Nothobranchius furzeri: one gene and its partner. The protein of the gene in region 1 interacts with the protein of each later gene in a biochemical or structural test. Links are inferred from orthologs where the notes say so. Each region holds a gene or a part of one and is shown on either strand. Other genes may lie near its edges.

The links. The genes of interacting proteins can lie anywhere in the genome.
Region 2: the proteins of synj1 (region 1) and endophilin-A1 form a complex in vitro, tested with the Homo sapiens proteins (2 studies listed by BioGRID and IntAct, with this or other methods). The link is inferred for Nothobranchius furzeri from reciprocal best matches to the Homo sapiens genes SYNJ1 and SH3GL2.

Annotation. Positions count from the first base shown.
Region 1 is NC_091750.1:63,449,428-63,453,077, forward strand, and holds part of synj1 (synaptojanin-1), read left to right. Parts: intron 1-258; coding exon 259-424; intron 425-510; coding exon 511-690; intron 691-786; coding exon 787-825; intron 826-2,203; coding exon 2,204-2,332; intron 2,333-2,466; coding exon 2,467-2,505; intron 2,506-2,717; coding exon 2,718-2,777; intron 2,778-3,650. UniProt on the Homo sapiens protein: Phosphatase that acts on various phosphoinositides, including phosphatidylinositol 4-phosphate, phosphatidylinositol (4,5)-bisphosphate and phosphatidylinositol (3,4,5)-trisphosphate. Has a role in clathrin-mediated endocytosis.
Region 2 is NC_091742.1:89,729,727-89,733,376, reverse strand, and holds part of endophilin-A1, read left to right. Parts: intron 1-1,445; coding exon 1,446-1,514; intron 1,515-2,025; exon of another isoform or gene 2,026-2,157; intron 2,158-2,231; coding exon 2,232-2,304; intron 2,305-2,376; coding exon 2,377-2,520; intron 2,521-2,709; coding exon 2,710-2,843; intron 2,844-2,924; coding exon 2,925-3,083; intron 3,084-3,650. UniProt on the Homo sapiens protein: Implicated in synaptic vesicle endocytosis. May recruit other proteins to membranes with high curvature. Required for BDNF-dependent dendrite outgrowth.

The DNA of each region.
Region 1 (3,650 bases):
GTGTGCAGCATAGTAGCTAAAAGCAGCTTCACCCCGTTTGAAAGAAGATGCCACTGAGTGGTATTTAAACTAGTAAAAGCACTTTGAAATCAATTCAGTAGTAGTAGAACTGCCAATCATACATTCATAAAATACAACTTACCTGACGTCGTCGTCTGCAAAGCCGGTGCAAGCAACAGCAGGGTTGTTTAAGACAGTCGTAATTCAACCTTTCTCAAATAATGTCTTCCTTCTTTTCTGATCGGATGTATTTTGCAGGTCCTGGACAAGATGATAGACGTCCGCTTGAGGAGTCCAGGCTGGATCAGGAGTCTGGAGGAGGAGATGAGTGTAGAAAGGATCTGCGGAAGCATTCCCACGTCGAGTAGCTCCACGCTGCTCGCTGAGGATGTGTACGTGGGTGATGACGATTTTGAGATGGAAGGTGAGAAGTCGTCACTGAGCTATGTGGAGAATCATGGAAGACATTTTCCAAAACCTGGATTGTCCCCTACCTGTGTTCTCCTCCAGGTGAGGTCGACGAGGAGGTGGAAGACATCCTTCCTCAGCACCTGCTGCCTGGAACCGGCTCTGCTCCCGGATCCTCCCCTCTTCCGTCTCCACGCAGCAGTCCTTGCCCCTCCCCTACCCAGGGAGAGCCCTCTGCTCCCAGCAGACCCACTCGTGCACAACCCACTCGACCGTCACAAGGTTAATTACAAAGTACAACCAAATCACATCTTCATGTTGTGGTCTCCACCTGCTGGAATATAACTTTGATTCTGTTGTGTTTGGAATTTGCGGAAGCCGCTTTAAGTGTGTCCACTCAGAGCGAGGAACCTCCAGGTAAAACGGAGCGTAGCGGTGCGTTCTCTGTTGGGTGTTAGCAAGTGTGGTTTCTTAGTAAAGTGTTTCCCTTACAGATGGGTTGGTTTGCAGTGTTAACTTAATATTTTCTTTGGTCAAATTTAACTTTGACTTTTCTACAGTAGACAAATGTTGGATGGGATGGACTTGTGAGATGTTTTAGTAAAAAGAAAAAAGCTTCTGATCTAATGTAGAGGCAGCAAATCTGCATGGTTCTATATTTTAATGCGTAATAGGGGTTGTATGAACTAGTCGACTTCACTGCTCTGTAGTGACTTTTTATGCCTGTCATCGACTAGTCGCTGTCACGTGATAATGACCGACAAGATGCAGTCATCGGAAAGACAGCAGGTGACAAGCTCCTGCGCGTCGGGAGGCAACGCACTGTGCCAGAGCGTCGGTACTGACACCCGTGGTAAAACGGACAGTTAACCAAATTGTGACGTTTACCCTCTTGCAATTTAACCTTCCCCTCACCCCCATCCTAACCTTAACCAGCTTGCACATGCAAAGCTCTGATCGATGACGCGCTCCAGACATCTGCATCCTGAGCACGGCCACAGTAACATTATCAAATCAGGTGTTGCCACCTCAAAAACTAATTTAACACGCGATCGTTCATGTCGGCTCATTTCCTTTTATGTCTTCGGTCTTTTATTTGTGCCTGATGCTTTTCACTGCTGTGGATCGGGGCGCATCACCTGTTTTGTCCTCCGGTGACGCACCTCACTGATGCGGCCGGCGAGCACTCCGCTGTTTTTGCGGTCGGTAGAGCTTTTATAACTGCAGTTCAAAGGTAACTCATGAGGTGAATATATATGAACCCAGGTAGCAGTTTTTCTTTAGGATTGAGAGGAGATGCAGGAAGATAATAAACAGGCAGGACAGAAAAATAGTCAAATAAAAACAAGTTAGTTTTTGTACCTGGTGGTTGCAACAAACAGACACCACTGAAGGTAATCAGAAGTGAGGAACAGAAAATTAAATAATTATTTTAATGTTTAGAGCAGCAGGAACTCCGAGAGGCTGCAGGTGCACTGTGCAGGGGGGGGGGCTCAAGCAGGGGAACAGTAAAGATGCAGAGGCTACCGCTGTTAAAAGAGATGTGTTTAACTTTGAAAATGTGGCCGCAATTTTGGTTGTCATAAACTCCAGCAAACCAACTGACCCCGCGCGCCGCTTCAGGTGTATGACGTCATCAACGACTAGTCAAAGTCGACTCGATTTTCATTCAACTTTAAATAAAATTAAGTCATGCAGCCCCTAATGCGTAATAAAAGTATTTTCTTTCGGAGACAGATTGTTAAAAGGCCAGTTGTATGAATACATTGCTCTTCTGCATTTTATCTTCATCCAGGGCCTCCTGTTGACTTCCAGCCCGGTGCTCCGACAGGTCCAGGCCTGGAGCCAAAACGGGCTCCTCCTCCCCGCCCAAACGCCCCACCGGCCAGACCAGCTCCGCCCCAACGCCCACCACCACCCTCAGGTAAACTACATTTGTCTTGACTGTTCAAAATGATTCCAGTCCCAAAAGAATCAGGAGCATGAATGGACGCCGAGATCTTTAAGGCAGGTGGTAACTTTTGGCTTTCATTCCACTGCTTTGCCAAATTCTTCAAGGAGGCCTGAGTCCTCAGCCAGTCAGAAAGGACTCTGCAGGTAACGTGAAAGCTGTTGAACGGTGAACTTCATCCATCTACGTTGCATCTGTAGAAGTTTCTAGATGGTCTACAAATATTTAGTTTTTATTTCAAATCGAAAAATTGTGGTAATGTCCTTGACATCATCAACATGCCTGCTTGTTTTCACTTTTTTTCCTTATGTTTTCTGTTGTGCTTTTATTTTGAAAAACATCTTTTTCCCTCCTCAAGATGTTGGCATACGTCCGAGCCCGCTGCTGGGTAGGAGAGGCAGTGAAGGCAACAAGCCAGGTGTCTTTTGTGAATGTAACCCCAGTCATGACTGATGACGGTGTTTGCATTGATTGTGTCTGTTGCTTCATGGCTGGAAATTTTACTATTTTATTTGTGTTTGAAATGTGATTGGGAGTCTTTTAAATCAACAAAAAAGAAAAGTACTAATTTTATATCAAGAATTAGACAAACATTCACAATCAATGAGCTACTAGAAGAAGATTTGGTTGTCTCTGTTGCTCTGGGACAACATGTAGTATTCAGTCGTAGTAATTAGTGGCGTCAGCACTCGCCATCACTCGTCCGTATGAGCTTGTCGGTCAGAAGACTGAGCAAATAACCTGAAAAATAATTAAATTCATTGTGTTCTATGACCAGGATGGCTTGTCCATAGAGGGCGCTGGGACGTCGCCCTCGCTGATGTGGCAGGAAAAACTATTTAAAAAATTAACAAAAATCATTTACTATCAATGTTTCAGTTTTGCTTAGTTGTGTGAATTTCACCCAATAGAGTCACAAATATCACTCCTGAGCTGCAGCTAAACAGCCAGTCACATTTGGTTGCTAGGGAGAAGTGGAGTATTTTTAAGCAAAAAGTGTATCTGAAATTGTCTGTGGGTCGCTGGCTGCTACAGGAAATAGCTAGCATGATAGAAGATGCTGGCTCTTTTTTTTTCCTGCCCTCTCTCTCTCGCACTCCCTCATTCACACACACACACACACACACACACACACACACACACACACACACACACACACACACACTGTTAGATAGAGTTGAATTTATACCTGATTATTTGTTCAAAATGTGGTATTTAGTTCAATATCAGTGTTGTGTTGCTGCCACCTACAGGTGGAATTGAATATTGCACTTTGAGGGACACATTGGGC
Region 2 (3,650 bases), on another chromosome or scaffold:
TTTCCTGTAGCCTTTATGTGTTTGTTTACTGGAGTGTTCTGCGTGAGAGAATAAAGGATGGCTCGCTGGTGGCCCATCTCCTCCTTCATCACTGCACCCTGAGGCTATTAGAGATGGAGCAGCATCCCTGATCAGCACTTGCTGCTCCCTTTGTGGCCAGCTAAGCAGAAATAATTATTTCCGAGGAGAATCGGAACTTAAAACTAATAAACCTGCAGTCAGCCAAGCTGAACACATGATGTTTATTGTGTTTATTACAGGTTTCATGAACTCTTGAGTAGAAATTACGAGGAACCAGTTCAATGCAGGAGCTTCACTCAGGAAAACCAGCATCATCTTTTCATTTGTCGTTTCTAAAGGATGTTGATGTGTTTGACATATTTTAACGGTGTTTCTGTGTAAATTAGTAATGTTGTAATGACCGCAGAGAAACATCGTTTAATTAATAAGAATTTTAGTCAAAAGACTGAAACTAAATGAAAAAAGATTTTAACACTGGTTTCAAGTTAGAAGTTTTATTTCTGCTGTTTACATAAAAATGGGTGCTTTTTTATCAGATCGTTAGTTTGTGTTTTTAATTTTGACTCTTTTCTGAATGTGGATCTGGGTGAAAAAAGAACCGTTTAAAAAAAAAGTCATTCATTCCTAAAAGCAAGAGCGGCTTTTATTCGACACGAACACGGGGAAAACGAGAATTCACCCAGTGAAAACATTAAAGAAAAGTCACTCGTGGCTTTTGTGCAACAAACACAAGTTAGACCGTTTGTGTGTGGAAACAAGATCAGAAACCACCTGCTCTTGAACATTTTACGTGTTCAAAGCTTTAACTTGTTGTTTTAATACTTTTATTCTTGTTTTCTGACTCGGATTGATTTTTTATTTGTTTATTTTGTTTATTCATTTAGCAGACGCTTTTATCCAAAGCGACTTACAATTTATAACCTATAGGGCGTGTTGTGATCTGTGGGGGAAACCCGGGGGAAACCCACGCATGCATGGGAAGAACACGCAACTCCACGCAGAAAGGCCACAGCTGAGTTTCGAACCTGCAACCTCCGTGCTGCGAGGCAACAATGCTAACCACTGCGCCACCATGATTTCTAGATTTTTACTTGTCATCTAATTATCATTCCTTTATTTATTTTAACCTGTTGAATTAAATAATTTTAATGAAGTCTTAGTGAGCTTGAGTCTATTATTTAGCCTGTTTGTTACCCTCTGTACCTTATTATGATCTATTAACTACACCCGTATGAACCCGTGGGTTTGATCTCACACCCGAGTTCTGTAGAGGATTCGACACACTTTCATCTCCCAGCAGCACTGTGGTTTCTCTCCATCATCGCCCCGAATGCAAACAGATGGGTATTTTATAGACCTAAAGAGTCAAACGGGACAGTTTTAACCCTCGTTCCTTCTGTGTGTACGTGGGTTTCTCTCTGCAGAAAGTCAGCGAGAAGGTTGGAGGAGCGGAAGGAACCAAACTCGACGATGACTTCAAAGAAATGGAAAAGGTAATTAGCTTTGTTTAAATGTGACCTGAAGCATAGGGGCAGTGGAAGAAGTGAGCAGAAGTGTTAAAGCTACTGTCAGTGGCCCATTAGGGTCCCCATGGCAACCAAAATCAACTGAAAGGTGCCTAAACTGTGAGCAGCAGAAGGATCAGGTGGGTGTGCATGTGTTTGATCTTTCACCACATGAGGAGGTAAAAAGACTCGTCACTTCCTGGTTTAGAGAGAAAACAAGTGTTTGTACTAAAATGGTTTCACGTCGCAAAATTTAAGAGTGGATTTGGGAGTTTTTTTAAAGCTGCAGGAGGAAATTCCTAACGGAGATAACAGTAACTACACATTTGATCATTAATTATAATAATTCATAGAAATATTCATGTTCTTGTTATTACTGAAGTAAAACTTGAACAGGTTTTTATTTAGGTTAAACGGTGCTTTTAAAAATCTAACATTAAAGGAGCGGTTTTACAGATGAGATGTAAAACATCCTATTAATTTTGGTGTTTGGTTTCAGCTACCGTTTGTTTTTAACATCATTTAGCGGTGAAGCAGCAGTGGATGACGGGATCCAACATGAAATGGCTCCTCTAACTCTGCACACGGTCCAGATAAATCCAGCGGTTTTATTTAAAACTCCCGACAGCTGGTGAGATGTTTACGTTTAACCTGTGAACAGCGGGGGGTAAACGGGGATGTTTCTACCAAACGTGTCCTCCGCAGAAGGTGGACGTCACCAGCAGAGCGGTTCTGGACATCATGACCAAAACCACAGAGTACCTTCAGCCCAACCCAGGTAAGAAGCATGCCAAGCTGCCCTCAGCAGCTTCCTGTGACCTCCACTCACCGCTCTGATCCCTCCTCCCAGCGTCCAGAGCCAAGCTGAGCATGATCAACACTATGTCCAAGATCCGTGGCCAGGAGAAGGGGCCCGGGTACCCGCAGGCCGAGACCATCCTGGGGGACGCCATGCTGAAGTTTGGACGAGAGCTGGGAGAAGAGTCCTGTTTCGGTGAGTCCCGACATGGAGATGTAGTTTTTACTGGCTGTTGGCCTCGACTCCGCCTCCAGTCTAGTGTTGTATTATGACTCAAGAGACCGTAAGTCAACAATAGAGAACATCTGTTCCAGGACCAGAGATCTTCCACCCAGAACCAGAAGAACTCTAACAGTAACTCAGATTCTCTCCTCGTGATTCCAGGAACGGCGCTGATAGACGCCGGTGAGGCCATGAAGGAGCTCGGGGAGGTGAAGGATGCTCTGGACATGGAGGTCAAACAGAACTTCATCGACCCTCTGCAGAACCTCCATGACAAGGACTTGAAGGAGATACAGGTGCATAAACTATTCAGACCCGGTGGATGGTCCGATCTGTCAGCCGGATCAGATGGTTACTGGTTTCCTCTCGCCTCGCAGCATCATCTGAAGAAGATGGAGGGCCGTCGTTTGGACTTCGACTACAAGAAGAAGCGTCAAGGGAAAGTCCAGGACGAGGAGATCAAACAGGCGCTAGAGAAGTTCGACGAGAGCAAAGAGATAGCCGAGCAGAGCATGTTCAACCTGCTGGAGAGCGATGTAAGTGACCCAGTCCTTGAAGAACTGGTTAGACACGCAGCTGTGGCGGGAAAATACATTCCCTCATATCCAACATAACACATGAAATCCTAATTTATACTAAAAAGTCAAACAAGTACATAATATTTACAAAAATTTAAAAAGGTTTCATGTATTAAAATTAAATATTTAGATTTAAATGTCACGGTCAGACCTAGTGACGATCAGCCGGATCCAACAACAGCCAAACACAGAGAAAGATTTAAAGATTTTATTAAAGGACTTGTTCAAGTGAGCGGGACCAGCAGGAGTCGGTTCCGGGTGGCGTGGCCCGGGACACAGAAAACAGTCAGCGAGGGAGATAATTCAGATGTCTTCATCTGAAGAGTGACTGACCTTCTGAAAACAGCAGCGGTGAGGAATGCTGATGAAGGTGAGTGCTCAGATTCAGGCTGGAGCTGAGGCAATAGACGGGTTCCTTGGTTAGGCAGGCAGAGGTCAGTAAAGAACAGGGAGGCAGGTTCAAACTCTCGAAGGACTGGCAGGACAGCAGACGATCTCGCACTGAGCAGCAGGAGCCAGGTGCTT